Linked DNA regions of Macaca fascicularis. The protein of the gene in region 1 interacts with the protein of each later gene in a pairwise test. Links are inferred from orthologs where the notes say so. Each region holds a gene or a part of one and is shown in the gene's direction. Other genes may lie near its edges. The genes, in order: GRN, FAM131C, SMAD9, NLK, NUFIP2, OTX1 and C10H22orf39.

Evidence for each region.
Region 2: the proteins of GRN (region 1) and FAM131C interact in binary tests that used the Homo sapiens proteins (3 or more experiments, as listed by UniProt). The link is inferred for Macaca fascicularis from reciprocal best matches to the Homo sapiens genes GRN and FAM131C.
Region 3: the proteins of GRN (region 1) and SMAD9 interact in binary tests that used the Homo sapiens proteins (3 or more experiments, as listed by UniProt). The link is inferred for Macaca fascicularis from reciprocal best matches to the Homo sapiens genes GRN and SMAD9.
Region 4: the proteins of GRN (region 1) and NLK interact in binary tests that used the Homo sapiens proteins (3 or more experiments, as listed by UniProt). The two-hybrid records come from large-scale screens. The link is inferred for Macaca fascicularis from reciprocal best matches to the Homo sapiens genes GRN and NLK.
Region 5: the proteins of GRN (region 1) and NUFIP2 interact in binary tests that used the Homo sapiens proteins (3 or more experiments, as listed by UniProt). The link is inferred for Macaca fascicularis from reciprocal best matches to the Homo sapiens genes GRN and NUFIP2.
Region 6: the proteins of GRN (region 1) and OTX1 interact in binary tests that used the Homo sapiens proteins (3 or more experiments, as listed by UniProt). The two-hybrid records come from large-scale screens. The link is inferred for Macaca fascicularis from reciprocal best matches to the Homo sapiens genes GRN and OTX1.
Region 7: the proteins of GRN (region 1) and C10H22orf39 interact in binary tests that used the Homo sapiens proteins (3 or more experiments, as listed by UniProt). The link is inferred for Macaca fascicularis from reciprocal best matches to the Homo sapiens genes GRN and C22orf39.

What each region holds. Positions count from the first base shown.
Region 1 is NC_088390.1:65,410,746-65,413,628, forward strand, and holds part of GRN (progranulin), read left to right. Parts: intron 1-1,323; 5' UTR 1,324-1,330; coding exon 1,331-1,468; intron 1,469-1,586; coding exon 1,587-1,712; intron 1,713-1,827; coding exon 1,828-1,912; intron 1,913-2,386; coding exon 2,387-2,499; intron 2,500-2,600; coding exon 2,601-2,736; intron 2,737-2,849; coding exon 2,850-2,883. UniProt on the Homo sapiens protein: Secreted protein that acts as a key regulator of lysosomal function and as a growth factor involved in inflammation, wound healing and cell proliferation. Regulates protein trafficking to lysosomes, and also the activity of lysosomal enzymes.
Region 2 is NC_088375.1:219,039,419-219,042,918, forward strand, and holds part of FAM131C (protein FAM131C), read left to right. Parts: intron 1-2,062; coding exon 2,063-2,178; intron 2,179-3,327; coding exon 3,328-3,363; intron 3,364-3,500.
Region 3 is NC_088391.1:16,402,204-16,405,703, reverse strand, and holds part of SMAD9 (mothers against decapentaplegic homolog 9), read left to right. Parts: coding exon 1-158; intron 159-1,054; coding exon of another isoform or gene 1,055-1,093; exon of another isoform or gene 1,094-1,230; intron 1,231-3,500. UniProt on the Homo sapiens protein: Transcriptional modulator activated by BMP (bone morphogenetic proteins) type 1 receptor kinase. SMAD9 is a receptor-regulated SMAD (R-SMAD).
Region 4 is NC_088390.1:33,624,123-33,627,622, forward strand, and holds part of NLK (serine/threonine-protein kinase NLK), read left to right. Parts: intron 1-298; coding exon 299-508; intron 509-3,500. UniProt on the Homo sapiens protein: Serine/threonine-protein kinase that regulates a number of transcription factors with key roles in cell fate determination. Positive effector of the non-canonical Wnt signaling pathway, acting downstream of WNT5A, MAP3K7/TAK1 and HIPK2.
Region 5 is NC_088390.1:34,772,674-34,776,173, reverse strand, and holds part of NUFIP2 (FMR1-interacting protein NUFIP2), read left to right. Parts: intron 1-413; coding exon 414-2,138; intron 2,139-3,500. UniProt on the Homo sapiens protein: Binds RNA.
Region 6 is NC_088387.1:58,901,118-58,905,415, reverse strand, and holds the start of OTX1 (homeobox protein OTX1), read left to right. Parts: upstream 1-1,498; 5' UTR 1,499-1,566; intron 1,567-1,920; 5' UTR 1,921-1,989; intron 1,990-3,565; 5' UTR 3,566-3,674; coding exon 3,675-3,771; intron 3,772-4,298. UniProt on the Homo sapiens protein: Probably plays a role in the development of the brain and the sense organs. Can bind to the BCD target sequence (BTS): 5'-TCTAATCCC-3'.
Region 7 is NC_088384.1:33,400,944-33,405,006, forward strand, and holds the start of C10H22orf39 (synaptic plasticity regulator PANTS), read left to right. Parts: upstream 1-1,263; 5' UTR 1,264-1,288; coding exon 1,289-1,312; intron 1,313-1,428; coding exon 1,429-1,596; exon of another isoform or gene 1,597-1,978; intron 1,979-4,063. UniProt on the Homo sapiens protein: Negatively regulates long-term potentiation and modulates adult synaptic plasticity. Stabilizes the interaction of RTN4 isoform A/Nogo-A with its receptors, inhibiting clustering of postsynaptic AMPA receptors at synaptic sites.

The sequences.
Region 1 (2,883 bases):
CAGGAGGATCGCTTGAACCTGGGAGGTGGAGGTTACAGTGAGCCGAGATCATGCCACTGAACTCTAGCATGGGCAACAGAGCAAGACTCCATCTCAAAAAAAAAAAAAAAAAAAAAGGGTGAGCAGGCTTGGTGGCACGCTCCCAAAGTCCCAGCTAATTGGGAGGCCAAGGTTGGAGGACTGCTTGATCCCAGGAGTTTGAGTCCAGCCTGGGCAACATAGCAATATCTCATCTCTAAAAATAAAAGTAAAGTAAAGGTATTAATTACTACTTTGGATGGTTGTTGCAAAGAAATAAAATAATGCAGAGTCTTGTAACTGGCTCCCAAGAGGCTCAACAGACATTACTGTTTTTGCTTCTTCAGGACGAGTTACCTCTCTGGCCACCCCACTGAGCTAGCTGGGCTAGATGAGCCTGGGAGAAGAGTTGTTTAGGAAGTGAGAGGCTGCTCTCCGCAGAAACTCAAGGCTCAGTTCCTCCTGGTGACTCAGATGGGCAGCCCAGTGGGCACACGTGGTCTCTCTCCACATGTGGCTGGGTTTTACTTCCAGAATAGATGGAGAGGCAGGGGTGGGGGTTAGCATGCTTGGGGAATCTCAGAGAGCCCTGGTGGTGTGGCGTACCCTCAGAACACAGGTATCTCAAAGGCTGACCCACCTTCTGTGTCCCCTTCCCTGGGTGAGGAGGGGACATTCATGGCCAGGTGGTGACTGGCCTCTGGGGAAGGCAGCCCAGATTCCACTGGCCACCATACTTCCTTTTTCACAACTTTCTCACCCCTGTGGTTTCCCATGTCATCATGTGGCCGCTTCCTGCAAGGCCTTAGTGGGGTGCAGGTATGAACACAGTGTCAGGCAAGGAGGCATCTGGAGGGGAACCCTGGCTTTTCCTGGGGGGCCTCCCTCCCTGCACCCCAGCCCTGTCCTCTCCCATGGCTACTGATGCCTTCCCCCCCACCCCAGAGGTGGCCCACATCTGCACAGATCAGACCAAAAAAAATCACGTCTTCGTGACTCTCATAAGCCTGCCCAGTGAGGCCCAGGCATTAGACCATGTGCTGGGGACTCAGGCCCACACATATACGCATGTCAGCATTCATGCTCACAGGTCTGCACGTGCTGGGGCATGTGTCACACACAGGGCTCTGTAGGAAGCTGACGCTCAGCCCCTGCAGCTTTCTGCCTGCCTGGACAGGGAGGTGTTGAGAAGGCTCAGGCAGTCCCGGGCCAGGACCTTGGCCTGGGACTGGGGTACTGAGTGGCCCTAGAATCAAGGGTGGCACGGGCTTAAGCAGTTGCCAGATGTTCCTTGGTACTTTGCAGGCAGACCATGTGGACCCTGGTGAGCTGGGTGGCCTTAACAGTAGGGCTGGTGGCTGGAACATGGTGCCCAGATGGTCAGTTCTGCCCTGTGGCCTGCTGCCTGGACCCCGGAGGAGCCAGCTACAGCTGCTGCAGTCCCCTTCTGGTGAGTGCCCCTCAGCCTAGGCAAAAGCTGGCAGGTTTTCCCAGAGGGTCATCTTGGATTGGCCAGAGGAGGATGCCAGGCACAAGTCTGTGGTGTATCATTTCCCCTGTCTTTCCAGGACAAATGGCCCACAACACTGAGCAGGCATCTGGGCGGCCCCTGCCAGGCTGGTGCGCACTGCTCTGCTGGCCACTCCTGCATCCTCACCGTCTCAGGGACTTCCCGTTGCTGCCCCTTCCCAGAGGTGAGCGTGCCATCAGCCCGATGGAGGGGCTTAGGTCTGCATTGATGCTTTTCCTGCAGTCTCCCACTTGCAGATAAAAGGGCCTTGCCAATGCCGGTTTCTCTGTGTCCTACAGGCCGTGGCGTGCGGGGATGGCCATCACTGCTGCCCACGGGGCTTCCACTGCAGTGCAGATGGGCAATCCTGCTTCCAAAGATCAGGTGCAGCCGGGATGTGGGTGCAGGGCAGACAGACGGGCAGCATGTAGAGCCTGGAACCCAGGAGCCCAGCTGGCGGGGCAGCCCCGATTCCTGCCCTCGTGCCCTCATTCATGTGGCATCTGTACTAAGCAACACCCCTGCTGTAGACAGAGGTGCAGCACTGGGGATAGGAGGGGCAGGAGAAAGTGCAAGACTCCAAGTCCAGGCATTGTGGGGGTGGGGAAAGGTAAAGCTGAGCCGATCTAATGCCAACCCATCATCAGTGGGTGCCCCTTCCCCATGCCATCTTGCTGAGGGAGGGACTGGATTGTGAGGAGGGTGAGTTAGGCATGCCTAGGAGATCACTGAGCCCTAGTGTCACCCCCAAACCCCAGTAGCTGGGCTTGCAGGCCCTGGTGCCACCAGCTCTGTGCGCGATGGGGCAGTCACCTTCCCTGAGTGGGCTGGTAGAATCCCGGGTCACCTTGTCCACAGGTAACAACTCCGTGGGTGCCGTCCAGTGCCCTGATAGTCATTTTGAATGCCCGGACCTCTCCACGTGCTGCGTTATGGTCGATGGCTCCTGGGGGTGCTGCCCCATGCCCCAGGTACAAATCTGGGGAGACGGGGGTACGTGGAGGGAGGTGGGGGCAGAGGGTGGGGGCCAGGGGCAAGGGGTGAAGACGGAGTCAGGACCATTTTTTCTCAGGCTTCCTGCTGTGAAGACAGGGTGCACTGCTGTCCGCATGGTGCCTTCTGCGACCTGGTTCACACCCGCTGCATCACACCCACGGGCACCCACCCACTGGCAAAGAAGATCCCTGCCCAGAGGAGTAACAGGGCAGGTGAGGAGGTGGGAGAGCATCAGGCCAGGGGCTGGGGTGGGGCCTCATTGACTCCAAGTGTGGCAAAAAGTTCCCTCCACCCTGGCTGCCCCTCACACTTGCTTCTCTTCCAGTGGCTTTGTCCAGCTCAGTCATGTGTCCGGATGC
Region 2 (3,500 bases), on another chromosome or scaffold:
CCTCATCCTGCAGGGTACTCTGGAGGGTAAGTGAAGGGGAATTTTCTGATCCCAGACAAAGGAGTCCTGCACCTGGCAGTCATTGGCGTGGGGCTGCTCCAGGTGGGGCCAACAGAAATTTACCTAGGGCAGCCCCTGTAGAAAGAGCCACAGGTGGTGCCTCTTAGAAGCCATGCAGGGCATGGGGGCAAAAACAGGAAAAAGGAATCCAGGGGAATTGGGGGCAGCACCCACAGGGTCCCCTAACCCCAGTGATACAATCTGGCCTAGAGCATAAAGTCCCTCCGCTGGCGGGCAGCAAGTGAGCGCAGGGACCATTGTCTTCTAGGGAGGGAGGATGCCTGCAGCAGGGGAGCCCTGGGAGAAGGGAGCGGGGAGACCTGGGATAGACCTAGGAGAGGGCTAATAGGATTTGCCGGTTTACTGGGTGGTCCCTGGGAGAATGGGGGAAGGCAGGACCCTGAGAAACTCCTAGGGTTGTAGTTGGTGCAGTGGGGGACCCGGGGAAGGTAGACCTGGATTTGGGAGTCCTCTTTTGCCCAGGTGTGCTTGAGGTGCCCCTTGGGCATCCATGTAGAGAGCTGGAAACTCAGTTGGGAGCTCAAGTGAGGAGTCAGGGCTGGAGGTGTGCATATGGGCAGTGGGCAGCGGAAACACGAAGGTGAGGCCTCCTGGGTCTGAGAGAGGGTGGTGAAGGGCCAGGACGGAAGTGTGGTGCCAGCCAATGGGCAGGGGTGAGCCAGGGAGGAGTCACAGAGGGGACCCAGGACAGCAGCCAGAGAGGCCAGAGGCCAGGATAAGAGCGAGGCTCAAGAGGGCAGGCAGGCAGCACAGCTCTAGCTCCAAGAAGAGGCTGGAGCGGCCCCCACTGTAGTTGGCCCCATGGAGGTTCCTGGCAGCTTGGCAAGGGCTGCCTCATGAAAGCCTGCTTGGAATGGGTGGAGGAGAACTGGAGGACAAGGAAGTAGAGGTGGGACACAGCTCTCTGCACATCGCGAGAAGGGAGCAAAGGAACGGCTAAGTCGCTGGAGGGAAACAGTGGTCACAAGCTTCTCAAAAGACAGGAGATGCTGGGATGCTGATGGCCCCACCCAGTGGTAAGGGGACAGAGGAGTGAGAATGCAGGAGAAGGTCCAGAGCCCAAGAAGCATGGCAGCATATGCAGTGCTGGCTGAATGCTTCAAGGCGGACGGAGTGGAGAGAGCAGTAACTCCACAGGAGGGAGAGCAGAGCCCCTGAGGGGAGGGCAGGGGCAGGACCCAGCCCTGGGTGGATGGGCCAGAAGGTCCTGGGTGCAGCAGGAACAGCTCTTCCTTTGTTGCAGGAGGGAAAGGCGACGATGTGGGCAAAGGTGCAGGCGGGCTCTGGTGATTTGGGTGGAAAGATCCAGGTGACACCTTTCCAAGGATCCTGGACCCAGTGAGGGAGGGGCAGAAGCCCCCAGCAGTGTGTGGGGTAGGGGAGGGAGTGTGTTTCATGTCTGAGAAGGAAGGTTGGGGTGAAGTTGTCAGCCTGGCAGGAAACAAAGGCAGCAGGAAATGGAGAAACAGGGAAGGATCCGGGCAGCATCCCACAGGAGGCTGGGGCTACAATCTAGCACGTAGCAGTCACTCTCTCCAGCAACATTTAGCTCCTCAGATCCAGGCACAGGGCGAGAGGGTCAGACTTAAACCCAGGTGAGAGGTAAGGGCGTCTGCGAGAGAGAGCTCAGAGGCCGTGTCTGAGGGTCAGCTGGGCCAGGAGCAAAAGAGGAGCTAGTCGGGAAATACCAGGGCAAATGGATTAAACGTCTCCAAGAGGCCAAAAACATGCTGGAGTGTGGGTGCTAGAAATTGTGAAAAGGGGGTAAAAAGAAGATGAGGCCAGTGATTCCCGCTGAGGGGCACAGGCAGGAGGGCATCTGGCTGGACCCCTCCCCTGCTGTGGACTTGAGTCGGCTTCCTCTACAATGATGCTGGATAAAAATAAGGCCACACCCATCTTATGGGGGGGCCTTGAACACGCCTTGTAAGCAAGAGAGAGCTGGGCTTTGCTGAGTTCCTCCTCTTGCTCTTATTTCCAGACCTGTTCACAAGTGCCCACAAGGACTGCCCCATGCCCCAGGGCACGGACCCCTTGAACCCAGACCTGCCCTCGGGCCGCACTCCCACCATGGCTGTAGACCCTGTCACTGGCAAGGTAACTGGTTGCTCCTCATCCCTGTGCTGCCTGTGCCCCAGTTCCCGGCCTGTCCCTTACAGCTCCCCGCAGGGAGCAGAATCCATTCCAGTCTCCTTCCTTCCCTGCCAAACCCTCTTCTCCCTGTGGGACCAGGGGCCCTAAGGCCTGATATTCAGCAGCATGAGAGGCTGGACTGGGCTGAGCATCCAGGGGCTGGACCAGGCTTGTTTAGAAGACCGTCCATCCTGAAGGTCTTCCTGCACAAATTAACGCTGCCTTGCAGACAACACATTCTGCTACCAGCCCACTATTCCTGAGCAGCCTCACGAATGTTATATATGTTATGTAATATATATAATTATCTATTATAATTTAAAAAATCTATTATATTATATATAAGTATATATAAAATATAATATATAATATATAAGTATATATAAAATACAAATATATAATATATAAGTATATATAAAATATAAATATAATATATAATATATAATATATAAGTATATATAAAATATAAATATAAAAAATATATAATATATAAATATGTTATATATTATATATAAATTGTATATTATAATTTTTGTATACTATATTATATATAATTTATATGAATATAATTTATATATAATATATATTAAAATTTTACATATGTTTCTCAGTCCAGATTGATTTAGAAGATGTCACTAAGGATCACAAAGGACCCCAAATTCTGGTGCATAATTTCCACCCTTGCCTTAGGGTCTGTGGCATGAACCCACCAGTTGATGTAATTACCATCCCCCCACCAGCACACCCCTCCTGCTAAGCACCGCACTCAGCTCTCAGCTTCCATTATGTTATTTAGGCCTCACCACAACTCGTGAGGTGAATGACATTGCCACCATTTTGCAGAGGAAGAGACATGTTTGGCAAAGTCAGAGCCCACACCCAAGCCCGCTCTATAAGCTGCACCCGCTGCCTCTCCTCCCAGCACCACTGTTGCCCCCCCTTCTTACTCTGCATGCCGGGGGACACCAGAGCATGACCCATGAGAGGACAGACCCCGACCTCACGGAGCACCAGAAGGCTGACCCCCATCCCCGCCCAGGGCCGAAGGACTCGGGCCATCTGCCAGGACAGCGTGCCAGGCCCTACCTGATCCTCTCTCTCCTCTTGTTTTAGGACAAACAGATGGATTTCTGTTGGGATCCTTGGCAGGTCAGTGCACTGTGTGTCCCCTAGTCTAGCCAGCCCCAGCTGACATCCCCATCCCTCTATCCTTTGTGCCCAGCCCAGGCACACAGTCCTGCTGGCCCTGGGGGAGAGGAGTCTGATGAAACAGTGGGTGGGGGTGG
Region 3 (3,500 bases), on another chromosome or scaffold:
TCCACCCAGCCACCGTCTGCAAGATCCCCAGCGGCTGCAGCCTCAAGGTCTTCAACAACCAGCTCTTCGCTCAGCTCCTGGCCCAGTCAGTTCACCACGGCTTTGAAGTTGTGTATGAACTGACGAAGATGTGCACTATCCGGATGAGTTTTGTTAAGGTAAGGAGTGCTTGCTATCACATTATAAAATGTTCAGTGAAAAACAAAACAAAACAAAAAAGCACCCTGACTGATGTGGCAGTTCTGCGGTCAATTCAGATAGACAAAACCAATTTTTTTTTTTTTTTTTGAGACGGAGTTTCACTCTGTCACACAGGCTGGAGTGCAGTGGCATAATCTTGGCTCACTGTAACCTCCGCCTCCCGGATTCAAGCGACTCTCCTAACTCAGCCTCCCAACTAGCTGGGAGTACAGGCGTGCATTACCACGCTTGACTAATTTCTGTATTTTTAGTAGAGACAGGGTTTCACCATATTGGCCAGACTGGTCTTGAACTTCTGGCCTTGTGATCCGTCTGCCTCGGCCTCCCAAAGTGCTGGGATTACAGGTGTGAGCCACCGCGCCCAGCCCAAAAGCAATTTTTTTGAATTCTGTTGTTTTTAGGAGGAGTTCCTCTTTGAGTATAAACTGTCTTGTTTAGCAATTATATGAAAATTCTTACACATTACTTTTGAGGAAAAACAAGTAAGGTGGCTCTCTGTTTTTAATGCAGATGATAAAGTAACAACAGTAATTTTACAGGACTAGTGCAACAGAGATTTTTCCATCCTTCAAATTGCCAAGCACTATTATCACTCAGTGAGTGTTGGCGAATTTATCTGAATTCAGTAAGATACTCTCCTTACTCTTAGAAAGCATACAGGCACATGGAGGAGATAATATTTATGAATAAGCTACAAAATAGGCAGGATTGGTTCTAATACAAGACAGCAAATTAAGTAGTGTTATAAAGGTATAAACAATCTGGAATAGAAACATGAGGCGGGTGTGATTAATTCTGAGAGTAGTATATGTTCTGTTGATGAGTATTTGTTGAATTTCTCGAATCTTATTAGGGTTGCTATGAAGGCTGGAGAACCAAGGAAGTTTCTTAGTGGGAAGGAAAAACAACTGGGTTTGTATATGGAAGCAAAAGCCTTCAGTTTCATCACCTGCTATTTTATCTGTTGCAAAGTACTCGCAAATCAGTCTAATATTTCAAAATCTGGGCTCATCAAAGTATCCGGGTATGTGTGAGTTTTCATACTGCCATGCCTCCATCCAAGGAATCAGCATGGCTTGTTCCAGGCATTTTTTTCAAAGTAAATTTTATTAGCACTTTAAAATTACCATGACAAAGAATTTTTCTACACTCAAATTTTGTTTTTATTGTTTATAATTTTAGTAATTATTTAAAAACTAAGAACAATATAGTTTCCAATTTTAAAAAACAGCTGCTTGAAATTATTTCTCTTTCATGGTGACAAAGCAGTTTCATCCAAATTTAGTGTTTTAAAAGCATCTATTATAAAGTTATATTAACAAATAACTTGGAAATCTTTTTAAATGTTCTGTTGCTTTAGAAACGGCAGAGGGCATCATTTGAATCATACAGTTTTTTTTTTTCCAGGTCTGTGTTTTTAAAATTAGGATGAAATGCCAATATCTCATAGGTAATTATTTCACTCTAATTAAATATAAGCTTATATACAAATCTGATTTTCCTGATAACTAGATACATTTCTCAGATAGGCAACATTTAAATTCATAAAGCTACACAATTGACACAGAAGACAAACCTGTTCCTAATACTGCAGGAACTTTTAAAATAAATACATAGTAAATATAACTATAGATCATTTTTTTAAACATTTGAGATGAGCAACTGTAGCTACCACTGGGCTAATGGATCAGATCTCTTTAAGGTTTCTTTCAGCTCTGATTTTTACCGATTCTAGGACTCATTCAGTCAGTCAACAAATATTTATTGAGCACCTACCATGTGCAGCCAGGCGTGTGGGACATAGCAATGTTCACTCACAGATCTCTGCCCTCAGGGAACCAATATTCTAGGAAGGAGAGAGAGATAATACACAACAGCCATAACACAGAAGAAGGATGGAAAGAGAAAGTGTGGGGCAGGGTGAAGGGAATTGGAGCACGGGGGCAGTGGAGTCATCTGCACATCAGGGTGGGCCTCACTGAAAAGGTGACAGGTCAGCAGAGACTGGAAGGAGACATGGAGCTAGGCCCAGGGACTTCTGGAGGAAGAGTAGAAGCAGAGGGAAGAGCAAGGCAACAGCGTACACCTGGAAATTCTGAAGAGCAGGCAGGCCAGTGTGGCTGGGGCCTAATAAGCAGGGGGAGCGAGATGAGAGCAGCTGCAGGGAACCACAGCGAGGCCTCCTGAGCCACTCCTTGGAGTTTATCGGTGGCTCTCAGGAGGTGGCGAGCTTTTGCAGGGATCGGAGCAGAGCATTTTCATGATCTGACTTCTGTTCTTAAAGGATCGCCCTGCCTGCAGTGTGGAGGATAGGTATTACACAGACAAGGTTGCAAGTAGGGAAACCAGTTAGGAGGCTATTGCAATATTCAGATGAGAGTCGCCCTCACCTGGAGGGATCCAGTACAGCTGTGAGAAGTGGAAGGATTCTGAATTGTGAAGGCGGATGAGGCGTGGGGGTGAGAAAAAGAGGAAGATGAAGTTAGTTGCCTTCAATCAAGATGAAGATGCAGGTGTATTGAGATGTCTGTCCACATTCAAGTGGAGTTGCTGAGTAGCCAGTTCGATGTAAGAGTCTGGATTTGGGGAAAGAGATTTGGGCCCGAAATACAAGTTTGGGAATTGTCAGCAAAGGGACAGTATTTAACTCCCTAAGTCTGGATGAGAACACCAAAGGTTTGAGTTTAAACAGAAGGGCCAGGAGTGGTGGCTCACGCCTGTAATCTCAGCACTTTGGGAGGCTAAGGTGGGTGGATTGTTTGAGGTCAGGAGTTCAAGACCAGCCTGGCCATCGTGGCAAAACCGCATCTCTACTAAAAATACAAAAATTATCCAGGTGTGGTGGCGCATGCCTGTAATCTCAGCTACTTGGGAGGCTGAGGCAGGAGAATCACTTGAACCTGGGAGGCAGAGGTTGCAGTGAGCCGAGATCGCACCATTGCACTCCAGCCTGTGTGATAGCCAGATTCCGTCTCAAAAGTAATAATAATAATAATAAATAGTAAATAAAAATAGAGAAGAAAGGGGGCTCCAGGACCGAGCCCTGGGACACTTCAACATTAAAGATGGGACAGAAGGGACAGAATCAGCAAAGAAAACTGAGAGACCAGCCAGTGAAGTAGTAATAAGACCAAGAAGTGTGGTGCTTTGGAAGCCAAGAAAAAACAGTGCATTGATGAGAGGGTGTGATGAACTAAATCAAATGCTACCCACGTAACACAAAGGCTGAGAGCTAATAATTCATTTTTACAATATGAAGGCCTTTTTTGATCTTGACAAGAAAAGTTTTGTTGGCGGCT
Region 4 (3,500 bases), about 32 Mb from region 1:
CAATATGGTTAAACCCCTTCTCTACTAAATATACAAAAAAAAAAAAAAAAAATAGCCAGGTGTGGTGGCGGGCACCTGTAGTCCCAGCTATTTGGGAGGCTGAGGCAGGAGAATCCCTTGAACCCGGGAAGCGGAGGTTGCAGTGAGCTGAGATTGTGCCTCCAGCCTGGGTGACAGAGTAAGACTCCGTCTCAAAAAAAAAGTTTCAAAGTTCAGTGCCCTATCAAGGTTTTGATGTTTTGTTTTACTCTTTCATTTGTATTTGCTTGACAATGTTTTGACTGCCTTTTCTGTTTAGATTTGTGATTTTGGATTGGCCAGAGTGGAAGAATTAGATGAATCCCGTCATATGACTCAGGAAGTTGTTACTCAGTATTACCGGGCTCCGGAAATCCTGATGGGCAGCCGTCATTACAGCAATGCTATTGACATCTGGTCTGTGGGATGTATCTTTGCAGAACTACTAGGACGAAGAATATTGTTTCAGGCACAGAGTCCCATTCAGCAGGTATGATTTCAATTTAAGGCTTTAGTTTCAATTCTATTACAGATTTGAAGGAAAAATCCATCCTGCACATGTGTCTTGGGCTTATTCATTATACTGTCTAATTTGCTTTTAGGAAATTCAGGTTCACTTAAAATTTAGAAAGTTATAAAAGTTGAAGATTACAGAGAGATTCATTTTGTAACTTATGAGCCTTTAGAGTGTGTATTGACTTTATTTATTTATTATAATTATTATTTTATTTATTTATTTATTTTTTGAGACAGAGTTTTGCTCTTGTGGCCCAGGCTGGAGTGCAATGGTGCCATCTTGGCTCACTGCAACCTCCACCTGCCAGGGTCAAGCGATTCTCCTGCCTCAGCCTCCCAAGTAGCTGAGATTACAGGCGCGCTCCACCACACCTGGCTAGTTTTTGTATTTTTAGTAGAGACAGGATTTTGCCGTGTTGGCCAGGCTGGTCTCGAACTCCTGACCTCAGGTGATCCACCTGCCTCAGCCTCCCAAAGTGCTGGGATTACAAGCATGAGCCACCGCACCCGGCCTGTTGACATTATTATATGCACTGATGCATAGCCGCGAGCTCTGCTGTGACAATTTGCACAGGCATAATCTTCAGTTGTTAGAAGGCCTCTTTTCCTTCTAAGTGAATGGCTCTGACTTGAAAATGTATTGGTGACTTAATGTACTTACACTTTGTGCTTAGAATGTAAATTTTTATTGTGTTGATTTCTTGAAATCTGAACATTTAGGAAAATTTCTAACTTTTATTATTGGACTAAAATATCTAAATATGGCAGAGAACATCAGGAGATGATTAAAATATACTCTCAGAGAATCCTTTAGAAGCTACTTTGTTAGCTACATGTTACTTTAATTGTCTTTAAAGGTAATTATTCACTACTACGCATATTTTCTTGGGATAATTACTAGGTATTTTTATTAATTCGCTTGCATGAAAATAATGTAGTAACCATGAGCTCAGATTGGTGGGTTCAAATCCTAGCTACACCACTTATGTTAAATCTTGAGTAAGTTACTTAACCTCTCTCTTCCTTTTTTTTTTCTTCTTCTATTTTTTTTTTTTGGTTTTTTGGCCCCTAAAACTGTTCTGAGGATTATTGTACAATGAAGCAGGAAAGCTGAAAATGGGGCCTGGCACATAGTAAGCACTCTGTAAATGTTTGCAATTATGATAGTGGTAGTAGTGTGCCAGGACGCTGGGGATACAGCAGTAAATAAGACAGCGTTGTTCTTAACCTTTGTGAAACTTTCACATGAGACAAAAATAAGTATGCAAATAAATATGATCCCAAGTAATGGAAGTTCCATAAAGAAAAATGTAGCCAGGTTAGGGATAGAGAATGGTGGCAGAGCAGAGCAGGCACTAAAGGATTCTCTGAGGAGATAACATTTCACCCACATAAAATGAGGCAGCAAGATGCTGAAGAAGTTACAAGAAGAGGGACAACCACCATAACAAAGCCCCTGAGGCAGAAACAAGCATGGCATGTTGGAGGGATGGCATGTGATGGAAGACGCTGTAGGAGATGAGGTCAGAAAGTGAGAAAGAACCTGGCCATGATGACATGATAAGGCCTTAAGATTTTATTCCAAGTGTGATAGAAAACGTAAATGAAGGTTTTGACCATAGGAATATTAAGATTTGATTAATGACATTTTAAAAGATCACACTGACTACTGTGTCTTTGTAAATAATTCATGCACTTGACCAAACAGAATTATTTCTTTTATGCTTTTTCTACAAAGAATTTTTACCTAATAGGTTAGAAACTATATCTGCTTTTATCAACATTTAAATTTTTCTATGCTATACATTCAAACTGTCTTTTTTACATTTTACATCTTAAAAATTGATTCTGGTGTTAAAAAATTATGTACATATAATATGTCATCTAATGTTGGGTACTATTGACAATATTCACTTTTCAATTTCTTTAGAAAGTAAAGTTTAACAGACTTAACCTATAAGACTCTCATATCTGGACATAAGCTGTCATAAAATGAATGTGACTACTACCTTGCATACAGAAAAGCTTAAGTAAAAAATAATAATGAGGTATTCAAATCCTATATATGGAACAAGAATCTTGAATTGCTGCTGCAAAAAATATGTGAGGGAAAGTGTGAAGCAACTGGACTGGAGTTCAGATATCTCATTTGCTAGAGAAATACATAGATCTTCAGTTTGGCAGTCTGACATAGCCACTACAGGAGAATTCATGTCTGTCTAATTGTTGGTGTGTGCTGGGGTGAGAAATGAAGATCTAAAATAGGAAAAGGCTCTAACTTCTAATGGAAGTCATTATTTCCTGTTGTATTTTCTCTGTATCTTTGAGATTTAATTACCCAATACTAACAGACATCATAAAAGTGTTTCTCATCTATGGATCTGACCCATTTTAGACAACTTTCTGAATGTTTCAATTTGTTTTTAGAAGCTAGTCATTTCCTTCTGCCTTTAGTGTGGTTATTAGAGATCCAAAAGTATCACCTACGTACTTTTCCCAAAAAGCTTTGTATAGAGATCTTTACTTCTGTGGAAAGCAAGCTTCTCAAGTTTCTCCATTAACCTGTAGGGTGGTGATGCTGATGGCTACCCCATGGTTTAGATAAATAGTGCTTTATATTCGGCATGCCCAGAACCAGGAAAAGAAGTGTTCTCTAGGTAAGAATTTCCCATCCTGGAGGAATCCAAATGAAATGTTACTGATAATTAGTTATGAAGTTAGAACAATTGTGACACTACAGAAAATTGGTAAGATAGTTTGCTACCCAAAGACTTGTTTGCAAGAAGACTGTTTTATTGGTCTCTTTTATTGTGTCCAGCTGACTAAATGCGGTCTTATGCAGTGTCATATTTTCTAAGTATCACAGTTTTCTGGCAGTGTAAGAGATTTCTAGCATGACTAGAATGTAAAGGATGTACACTGGCCCAAGCATGGAGAGCTTAGCTTTCATTTCAGGTGTGAATGTT
Region 5 (3,500 bases), about 31 Mb from region 1:
CAGTGAACTGAGATCATGCCACTGCACTCCAGCCTGGGCGACAGAGCGAGACTCTGTCTCAAAAAAAAGAAAATTTTATAACAGCCTTGTGAGAGTGATGGGTAGATTGATTTTGTTAGATGAGAGGTATTTGGCATACTGCTTAAGAGGTCTTTTTTTCTGGCCTCAGACTTTGCTTTGAATTTTGGCTCAGTTCTACCTCTTGCTTTGCTTAGCAGTAGATTGCATTTCCTAGTCTGTGAAATGGGGCTGACAAGTGTCTTCTCATAGAGATGTGAAATAATATAAAGCTACAGTTCATAGCATAGTGTCTAGCATACAGTAAATAAACATTTCTTAAATGTTAGGTATTAGTGTAATTTACATGTTGTGATTTTTTTTTTTTTAATAAACCGTTTTTTTCCCTCCCCTAGGCTATGGTGAACTAAACGGTAATGCTGGAGAAAGAGAAATCTCTTTAAAGAACCTGAGTTCTGATGAAGCCACCAACCCTATTTCCAGGGTCCTCAATGGCAACCAGCAAATTGTAGACACTAGCCTGAAGCAGACTGTAAAGGCCAACACCTTTGGGAAAGCAGGAATTAAAACCAAGAATTACATTCAGAAAAACAGTATGGACAAAAAGAATGGAAAGTCTTATGAAAATAAATCTGGAGAGAACCAGTCTGTAGATAAGTCTGATACTATACCAATTCCAAATGGTGTGGTAACAAATAATTCTGGCTATATTACTAATGGTTATATGGGTAAAGGAGCAGATAATGATGGTAGTGGATCTGAGAGTGGATATACAACTCCTAAAAAAAGGAAAGCTAGGCGCAATAGTGCTAAGGGTTGTGAAAACCTTAATATAGTACAGGACAAAATAATGCAACAAGAGACCACTGTCCCAACCTTAAAACAGGGACTTGAAACTTTCAAGCCTGACTATAGTGAACAAAAGGGAAATCGAGTAGATGGTTCGAAGCCCATTTGGAAGTATGAAACTGGGCCTGGAGGAACAAGTCGAGGAAAACCTGCTGTGGGTGATATGCTTCGGAAAAGCTCAGATAGTAAACCTGGTGTGAGCAGCAAAAAGTTTGATGATCGGCCCAAAGGAAAGCATGCTTCAGCTGTTGCCTCCAAAGAGGACTCATGGACCCTATTTAAACCACCCCCAGTTTTTCCAGTGGACAATAGCAGTGCTAAAATAGTTCCTAAAATAAGTTATGCAAGCAAAGTTAAGGAAAACCTCAACAAAACTATACAAAACTCTTCTGTGTCACCAACTTCATCTTCATCATCATCATCATCTACTGGGGAAACTCAGACCCAGTCATCAAGTCGCTTGTCCCAGGTCCCTATGTCAGCGCTGAAATCTGTTACTTCTGCCAACTTTTCTAATGGGCCTGTTTTAGCAGGAACTGATGCAAATGTTTATCCTCCAGGGGGTCAGCCACTGCTAACTACTGCTGCTAATACTCTAACACCCGTCTCTTCTGGGACAGATTCAGTTCTCCAGGACATGAGTCTAACTTCAGCAGCTGTTGAACAAATTAAGACTAGCCTTTTTATCTATCCTTCAAATATGCAAACTATGCTGTTGAGCACAGCACAAGTGGATCTGCCCTCTCAGACAGATCAGCAAAACCTGGGGGATATCTTCCAGAATCAGTGGGGTTTATCATTTATAAATGAGCCCAGTGCTGGCCCTGAGACTGTTATTGGGAAGTCATCAGAGCATAAAGTGATGGAGGTGACATTTCAAGGAGAATATCCTGCCACTTTGGTTTCACAGGGTGCTGAAATAATTCCCTCAGGAACTGAGCATCCTGTGTTTCCCAAGGCTTATGAGCTGGAGAAACGGACTAGTCCTCAAGTTCTGGGTAGCATTCTAAAATCTGGGACTACTAGTGAGAGTGGAGCCTTATCCTTGGAACCCAGTCATATAGGTGACCTGCAGAAAGCAGACACCAGTAGTCAAGGTGCTTTAGTGTTTCTCTCAAAGGACTACGAGATAGAAAATCAAAATCCTCTGGCCTCTCCTACGAACACTTTGTTAGGCTCTGCCAAAGAACAGAGATACCAGAGAGGCCTAGAAAGGAATGATAGCTGGGGTTCATTTGACCTGAGGGCTGCTATTGTATATCACACTAAAGGTAACTCATTTGTTTCCTATGCAAAGATTTTTATTGGCCAATTTAGTATATTTATATTAAGAATTTTAAGAGAATTAGTTGTTCATATTAAGAGTATTTTAAGAGAATGACAATGTGGATAAGCAACTAACATCAAACTGATTCAGGGTCTTTGGAACTAGTATGATTAAAACTTAGAAGAAATGTTCACTTTTCCAACTTAAAATGGTTTTTAAAAATACAAACATAATTGATCTACCTGGTTCAAAGAAGTGAGGAGAACTTGCTTAAAGGTGTTGATGTTATATTTTCTTTTGACCGAGTGCTTTAAAAAAAATTTTATTGAACATATGTTCTCTTTCCTTTGCTTTTTTGTTTCTCCTTTGCTTGTTTGTTTGTTTTTTCTTTGAGAGGGAGTCTCACTCTGTTGCCAGGCTGGAGTGCAGTGGTGTAATCCCGGCTCACTGCAACCTCCACCTCCCAGGTTCAAGCGATTCTCCTTCCTCAGTCTCCTGAGTCGCTGAGATTACAGGCACGTGTCACCACGCCCGGCTAGTTTTTGTATTTTTAGTAGAGATGGGGTTTCACCGTGTTGGCAGGATGGTCTCAATCTCTTGACCTTGTGATCCACCTGCCTTGGCCTCCCAAAGTGCTGGGATTACAGGTGTGAGCCACCGCGCCCAGCTTCTTGTTTGTTTTTGAGACGGAGTCTTTCTTGCCCAGGCTGGAGTGCAGTGGTGGGATCTCGGCTCACCGCAGCCTCTGCCTCCTGGGTTCAAGTGATTTTCCTGCCTCAGCCTCCCGAGTAGCTGGGATTACAGCCATGTGCCACCATGCCCAGCTTATTTTTGTATTTTTAGGAGAGACTGGTTTCACCATGGTGGCCAGGCTGGTCTCAAACTCCTGACCTCGTGATCTGCCTCCCTCTGCTTCCCAAAGTGCTGGGATTACAGGTGTGAGCCACTGCGCCCAGCTTCTCCTTTGCTTTTTGTATCATATGCTTCTTTATTAGTGAGCTCATTTAGTAGTTCTAATTTGCTTAAAATGAGTAGAAGCACTATTTTTGAAGAGGAGTCTGATAAGTCTTAAAAGGAGTAATGGATGCCAATTTGTAACTAGAAAATAAGTTAGACAAATTACAATGTCAAGCATGATAAGCATAGTCAAGACCAGGCTCTTGGGAGTCTCCTTTTTATAGCCCCAAAGCCCAAGTTTAAAGGGAACGAGATATCTTTCAAGTTTCACGCTAGTAACTCTCTTTCTTTTCTTTTTTTTTTTTTGAGATGGAGTCTCTTGTCGCCCAGGCTGGAGTTCGGTGGCGTGATCTTGACTCACTGCAACCTCTGCCTCCCGGGTTCAAGCGATTCTCCTGCCTCAGCCTCG
Region 6 (4,298 bases), on another chromosome or scaffold:
CTAAGAAGATCTCCCGGGTCCTTTGAGAAGCAGTTAAGGAAACAGTGTGCCCTCCATCATATTCTGTTACCGTATTTTATTCGGACTCCAAAGGAAAGTGTCGCTTGGGGGAGGGGGAAGCACTTTGATGAGCGGCGGCCGCGGCCCCTTTTCACTCAGCGGGCTCCCCCTTCCTTCTCCTCCTCCTCACCCAGCGCCCTGTCTGCTCTCCGCGCCCGACCCCGCAGCCTGGGCAGCACGGGTGCTCCCCACTGCGATGCGCCTGGAGGCTCCTTGACTCGCCCTCACACTTACTCCTGTGCAAACTTTTTACCCCGCCTGTCGGGGTGGGGGAGTGGGGAGATTAGAAACAAGGGGTAGAAATTCCTCGAAAGGGAATAAAGTGCCTAATTTTCAGAAGGAGGTGCCATTTAAAAGATTCTCCTAGCTCAGAGTTGGAACGAAAACTCTTTTTTGCACTTTTAAAAGTCCACCCAGGCAGACGTGTTTGGGAAGTTTGTTCCACTGGGAAATGGGCTTCGCCCGTACGAACAATCCGGGGAAATCGCCTCAAGGAGGCTCCTTACGCAGCATGTGGAAAAAAGTTGAGGGCAGGGGTCTGTGGCCACATTTTCCATCAAAAAGTCCCTGTTAGAGGCAGACTAGGAAAGAGAGAGAAAGAATGAAAAAGAAACTTTCCTATCAAAATGTTTGAATTAAGAAGTAGGGTGTACATGTGAGGGCAAGAGGACGCTGGGCTCCAACGTTTCAGAAGAAGCGCTTAAGGCTTGCAAACACCCTTGGTGGGGACCGGGAACCCCGGGAGATGCCGATGAGCAGGTAAGTGGCTGTGCCCTCCCAGTGGGTGCTCTTCCCAGGCGCGAGAGTCCCGAGGCGCCGAGGAGAGATCTGCACGCCCGGAGCTGCTCCCGCGCTCTGCAAAGTAGCCTGCGCCGGCACGAGCCGCCCGCGGCGTCGGTCTCAGGTGGCGGTGCAGAGGAAGAAAACGCTGGGGCCCGCGGCGCCAGGAGAGGGGCCGAGGCCCGGGCTCCTCCAGCCCGCCGCCCCCGGGTCCTGGCGCCCACACCCGGGCGGCTGAGCCCGGTGGCGCGCAGGAGAGCGAAGGAACCGGTTCTCCAGCACCTCTCCTCGTCTCTGCCACTCCCTCCGGAGCGCCGAGAGCGCGAGAGAAGGGCGGGGGCGCCCAGGGAAGGCCTGGAGACCCGCGGCCCCCTCCGCGGCCAGGACTCGGGCTCTCCGCTCGCCTTCCTCGCCTAGCTCTGAGCCGCTTTTGCCAGCCGAGTCCCGGAGTTAGCGCGCGACCGGGGCGGGGCGGGCGGGAGGGGAGGGCGGGGTGTGGGGGGCGGGGGAGGGCGGGGGCGCGCGGAGGTAACCCCCGGCTCGCGCTGCCATTGCCCGGCTCCCTGTCACTCAGCCCGCGCGGGGCCCCCGATTGGCGGCCTAGCCCCGTTACGCACTCGCCTCGCGTTCACATACCCGGGGAGGGCAGTAGAAAGGTGATCAATCTTCATCAGGCTACATTTCCAATCACCTAAACAACCGAGCAAGACAAGCCACTCCGACAAGGTAAATCGCTTGATTTATTTAGTTTGCAAAGTGACTCTGCAGGACTTCCCAGTCCCCACTGCCTCCACGTTGCACCGGGAGTGCCGCGGTAACGCCGAGCCACCTCCCAACTCTGCCCTCGAATTCCCCCCCTTGCGGCCCCTCGGCGCGATTCCGGGCGAGGCAATGTCCTGCCTGAGAACGTGTGGGGCTTAGCAAACAAAGTGTCTGTGCAATAAAGTGAAACCCAGAGGGACACGCACAAAGCCACTGAAAAAAAAAGATAGAGGTGGGAGGAAGGAAGTTGGGAAAAGAAAGAAACCCGGGGTCCTAGACCAGCCGCCGGGGTAATTCCTGTGCCGCTCTGTTTTGCAGGTTGGCTGCCCGGCGGGTCTCTGTGAGAGATCCAGGTAGATGGTGAACGTCCCCGGCAGCTGAGGGCAGGTAAGGAGAAAGCCGCGGGACCATCCCGGACTCCGGGAGCGCGTTGGTTACCCTTACCTCCCCCTCCTCAAATGGATCCCCACTTCCCCGGTCACCAGCAGGTGGGCGGGGCTGGGGGAGCGGCCTAGCTCCCCTCTTGGTGAGCCGAGGACCCCGGGGCGCTGTCGCGGCCCGCCGCTCCCTCCCCCGCCTCCTCCGAAGTAACCAAGCTGAAGTGCTAAGTTTGGAGAAAGTCTTTGAAAACTCACGCTGCAGCTTCGCAAAGCCGTCGCAGCTTTGAGTCCCATTTTTCTTCGGCCCTAGAGCCCTGGCTGCTTCTCTTCTCGTCCCCTTCCTACAAGCTGGACTCCCTCAGCCCAGGTCTTGGATCCCAGAAGACCGGGGTGGGAACGGGGCAGGGGGGAGCTTCTTTAGCTCTAACTTCTCTCCCTGAACGTCCTAGCCCGAGTCCCTGGCCTGCTTCACAGCGATCCCGCTAAGCGGGGTGTAGCAATGGCCCCCCAGAGCCCCAGGCCCAGTTTCCAGCGCCCCTCCCTGACCCCTGAGAGTGCCGCCCCGGGTTCCCGGCAGCGGCGGGGGCGAGGCTTCCACCTCCCAGCTCGGGTCTGCGTGGGCTATGCCGCTGAGGCCTACTTCTCTGTTCTCGACCGTGTCCTGGGGCCGCGGGTTCAGCTACAAGGATGACAGCACGGGACTTGCTGCCCTCCGGCTTTGCAAATCCCCGAGACCCTTTGAGGTGCTAGGTCAGTCACCCTTCACCCCCTGCTGGGACCCTGTGGTCCGCAGCACAGACTGGACAGAGAAGGCCGGGTGCGCGCTGGCAACGAAGGACGCTGGCCGCAGCTGAGACGCTCCCGACCTCAGGCCGCGTCTTGGGGTCGCCCCCCTCTACAGTGGCCTCTTCGGCGTCCCCTGGCCCTCTGCGAGGCCTGGGCCGGTTACTGCGGTTGAGGTGTGGTGGGATTTCGCGTCAGCGATCTTTCAGTGGCTGGGCACAGAGAGGTCAGCTGGAATGGTGATTGCGGGCTCTGGGGCAGGGGCGCAGCCCTGGAGACCTTTGAAGGAACCAAGTGTCCTAAGTGGACAAGAGGTTGAGGTGCGGTTAGCCCTCCACATTGCCTCACCTTGGCCCTTTGTAGTCTCTACCTTTTCAAAAACACGTGAAACAAAATGAAACAACCCCTCATGCTCCGGGAGGCCTGCCGTCCGGGCACCAAGTGAACGTTTGCTTGTGCAACATGAAGCTGGCTTCTGCCGGATTCAGAATTTTGCCTGGACTTGGGAGCTTGCACACTCCGCGGTTCTTGCTCTGACCTCCCCAGCCTGGCCTGGCTTTGACTTCTCCTTACTCCTATGGACTCCCTACCAGTGTCTTTGGCTCATTCCAACGCTGGAGCCAGACGACCCAGAAAACTTTACTTTTCAAAGCAACTGTGGTTTCTGGGCTAAGGCCTTGTGGATTCCAGTTGACCACCCTGCGCAGTTCTGTAACCTGCCTTCCCTGTCTATCCCGGGGCAAGACTTGGCAGCCAAGTGGCTCCGATTGATGGTTTCCGTGTGTCTCGTGTCTTCATAGGCCAGGCCCCCAGACGCATCAGACCCTGAAGGACTGCGGTGGGAGCCCTGCACCGCTTCTGGCCCCAGGTCCCCTGGATCCGTCGGGGCGCCTCCACCCAGCTGTTAGCATGATGTCTTACCTCAAACAACCCCCATACGGCATGAACGGGCTGGGCCTGGCTGGGCCCGCCATGGACCTCCTGCACCCATCCGTGGGCTATCCGGGTGAGCACCAGCCCTCCCGACCCTGCTTCAGCCTCTCCAATGTTGGGGCCCCCCAGACTGTTGGGTTTGAGTGCAAGCTTTGTTGCCGAGCAGGCCCAGGGAGTCAGCTATTGCAATACAGGGCCCACTGCCTGTTTACAATACAGGGCCCACTGCTGGCGCACGGGGCAGAGTCGTGGGCATGTGAGGTGGCCAGGGCTGAGAAAACGCGCAATGTGCGCCTTCCTGGCCGGGTCACCGGCAACCTTTCTCCTGTTGTGGTCCCACCACCAGCGCAGAGCTCATTTACCTGCGGATTCGCTACCCAGGGGCGGCTAGTGTTTTTCCTTTTCCCCCAACATGGAATGAGTAATCTGGACACTCGTTAGGCCCTGACAGAAAGAGCCAAACTTTCCTTATGCGAAGCGGCAGGCTGGACTGAAGGAGTATTCTTCCTTCCTAATTAAATTGTCCTCTAAATTGATGTCCTGCATCCGTTTTTGCACTGCTGTAGAGGACGACCTGAGCCAAACCCGGGGTTCTTTAGC
Region 7 (4,063 bases), on another chromosome or scaffold:
CCCCTGCCTGGACCAGGATGGATTCCATTCCAGGGCCTTTTAGTGGGGCCAGTTGGAGCACTGATTCTGGTCGTTACTCCTGCACCCTGGCCTGCAGCCTTCCTCCCAGTGTCTTCTTTGGGCTTGGTCCTTGAGCCAGCTGCCTCAACAGCAGGACCCGTGGTAAAACTGCAGCTTTCTGACCCACCTCCAGGGAGTCTGTCCCAGTGGGCACTTCTGCAAGCCCACCAGCTTCCCCTTTACTTGCCTTTGTTGCCTCTTGTGCATTGCTCCTTTTTATAAACGTTGCAGCCAGGCGTTGTCGCTCAGCCTATAATCCTAGCACTTTGGGAGGCCAAAGTGAGAGGATCGCTTGAGGCCAAACTAGCCTGAGTAACTTAGCAAGACCACATCTTTACCAAAAAAAAAAAAAAAAAAAAAAAAAAACAAAAAAAAAACTAAAAATTAGCCTGGTGAGGCGGTGCATGCTTGTGGTCCCAGCTGTTCAAAGTCCTGGAGTTCGAGGTCGCACGTAAGCCTGGGTGACACAGCAAGACCCTGTCTCGAAAAATAAATAAGGTAAATGTTACATGTCTCCCGCACCCTTAGAATCGAGCTACAGACATCCAAGCCACTCCTACCCCACTCACCCGTGCTACACACCGCCTCCATGCCTTTGACCGGCCTATGGCCGTGCTCGGATTGCCTTCTCAGCCTCCACTTCAAGCCTGCGTTCCCTGGGCAGGTCATCCAACCCTAGATCCACCACACGTCATGCCCAACCAACCTTGGTTACTTTGTGAGTTCACCTCCATCCTGAGTGGACGCTCAGACAAGACCGCCAGAGCTGCAGATCTGGGAGGTTCGCTGCACCAACTTGATGCTCAGTACATACTTTTGAAAATAAACCGCATTGTTGAGATTTGAGAAAATCTCATAAAGCTGCTAAAAAGAACTGGCCAGAGCAGTGTGATTTTAGAGGCGACTGGCAAAAGGTAGCTGCGCGGCCCAGGATGCCCTCATGGCCCGGGGTGAATGGCGCTGGCTTCGCGGTGGCCGAGTAGGCTCCGCGCCAGGCCTCGTCCCGGACTTACCCTGCGACCCTGGCCCTCCGCGCGCCGCAGCCGCCCTCGGTTGCTATTGGTTGCTCGTCCTGTTTGTCCGAGCTTCTCTAAGATGGGGGCGAAACTGTAATTGAATGTGTCGGTGCTTATTAGTTATTCTTTCAGTCGATCACGAGGTGCCGCTTTCTTCATTCTTCATTGGCTGGCGGACTGAGGGGCTGGCTTGGCGCCCCGGTCGCCCAGACATGGCGGACGGCAGCGGCTGGCAGGTGAGTGTGCTCGGGAGCCGGGAACCACCAGGGTCTTCCGGAGGGAGGGAACGGGACAGGCTCCGGGCGTGGGGCGCGGCCGCCGGCCCCCACTCAGGCGCCGCCTCTCGCCGCAGCCGCCGCGCCCCTGCGAGGCCTACCGCGCCGAGTGGAAGCTCTGCCGCAGCGCCAGGCACTTCCTGCACCACTACTACGTCCACGGCGAGCGGCCGGCCTGCGAACAGTGGCGGCGCGACCTGGCCAGCTGCCGCGACTGGGAGAAGCGCCGGAGCGCCGAGGCCCAGGTGCGCCGGGAGGGAGCGGGGCGGCGCTTCGGAGCGCCTTGCAGGGCCCAGCTTTCCCCACCCCTTCACGCCCCAGGCCCCGCGACCTAGCCGAGAACTGTCAAGGTCCCTACCCTCCTCACGCTTCCTTTCTTTTGAGAGTTGGTATAAATTAGCATATCAACAGGACTTTCAGGGGGCGTGAAAGACAACTAAGGAGACCAGCGAGGAGGGTGTAGAGTGGTTTAGAGAGCAAAGAGGGCAACCGTCCAATGTTAGGGTCATCAGCTGGCCTACGCAGGATATGATGTTGCTGAGTCCTGGGTGACCAGGAGCCAGCCTTCATCCAGCCCCGGTAGACACTGCTGAGAAACAGAGAAGGCCTGTGTTCCTGAAGCAGAGGGTAGGTGGATGGTTGGAAAGCGGTATACCAGGGACCTGGTGGGCCTTGATACGGAGTTCAGAGTTTAGTCTAAAGTGTGCTGGGAAGCATAATTCGATTTATATCTTTAACAGATCAGTCTGTTAGCAAAGTGTGGTGACGTGCACCTGTGGTTCCAGCTACTTGGGAGAGTGAGGTGGGAGGATCGCCTAAGCCCAGGAGTTCAGAGCTGCAGTGAGCTATGGTCACGCCACTGCACACCAGCCTGGGCAACAGAGGGAGACCTGTCTCAGGAAAAAAAAAAAAAAAAGAGGAAAAAAGTTCAATCTGTTTGCTAGGGTGTAGAGAGTATTTTACAGGAGCAGAGAGATCGGTAAGGAGGTGGTTCTAGTTGTTTATTCATCCAGCAAATATGTACTACATTGGGTACTCTTGGGGATGCACGAGTGATAAGAAGAGGCTCTGCCCTCCTGGCACCCACACTGTAGTCTAGAATATACAGTCCTACGGTGGACCCCTTGTGAGAGAGGAGATGGAGAGAAGCCAGCCGAAAGGTGCAAGGCTCATGGGGAGTGCCAAGGAATGAGAATCAATGGGACTGATCAACACTTCAACATTGTTAAGTGTATACAGTGATCTGAAAGACATGAACTGATGTGGAAACCAGACTGCTGTATAAAAGAAAATTATGACTATTCCATAATATGTGAAACTCAAAAAAAGTAAGAAAGCTGACAGCCTGTATAGCAAGAGATTGATAATTTTAATGTATGTATATCTGCGCGTGTGTGTATAAAGAGCTCTTATATATCAATAAGAAATATAGGGATTATTTCAGAATGGAAAAATGGCCAAAGGACACAAAGAAGCAATTCATTAAAAAAGAAAGCCAGGTGGGCATGGTGGTGGGCACCTGTAATCTCAGCACTTTGGGAGGCCAAGGCAAGGGGATCGCTTGAGCCCAGGAGCTTGAGACCAGCCATGGGCAACGTGGTAAGACTCCATCTTTATAAAAATAATAAAAAAGAAAAAAAAAAAGCCTGGGCGTGGTTGGCTCACGCCTGTAATCCTAGCACTTTGGGAGGCCAAGGTGGGCAGATCACCTGAGGTCAGGAGTTCGAGACCAGCCTGGCAACATGGCAAAACTCGATCTCTACTAAAAATATGAAAATTAGCCACGGATGGTGGCACACACCTGTAATCCCAGCTACTCGGGAGGCTGAGACAGGAGAATTGCTTAAACCTGGGAGGTAGAAGTTGCAATGAGTTGATCGTGTCACTGCACTTCAGCCTGGGCCAACAGTACAGTAAGACTCCATCTCACAAACAAAAAAGAAAAAAACCAAATGGCCAGGTGTCAGGTATATAAGTCTAAATGACAGTAACAGCAGGTTTTGCCCAGCAGAAAGTCGTTAAGTGTTGATGGGGGTTTGAAGAATTCTGGGTAGTTGTACAGTGTTGGTGGGGGTGTCGGGTGTTCTGATTATGTAAATGTCAGATGCATACCTTTTGACTTTAAGTTTTACTTCTGGAACTTTATCCTAGGGAAGTAATTGGATAAGAGTGTACAGTTAAAAGTTCGGAATGCTAATTATGTTTTTGATACTGCAAAAGCTGAAAACAACCTAAATTTCACTAATAGACATTTGACCAATTAGCTTTTTCCACAAAGTGAAATACCGGATAGCCTTTGAAAGGAATAGTCAGTCATCTACCTGGGTGTGGGAAAGTGCCTACAGTGTATTGTTTAGTGAAAAAAAAAGCAGGAAGTAGACTAGCCAGCAGAAGATTATCTCATCATTAGGGAAACATGTTAGCTCTAAAATTTGGACCAAAAAACGGTATCAGGGAAGCTGTTAACTGCCACATTGGGAATGGACATTTGGGAATATTTAATAGTCTGTGCTACATTTCTGATAGCTTTTTAAACATGATCAAAATATTTTATTTGAGGCAACAGAGCTTGAACAAAGACAGACGTAGACAGATTAAATGATCTGTGTAAAGAGGCTCACATAGCACCTGATACTTACCAAGGGCCCACAGCGAAGGTCTCCCGTGTTGTGATACACTGACCCGTGTCTGTATTGGGATACAGTAGCTAGA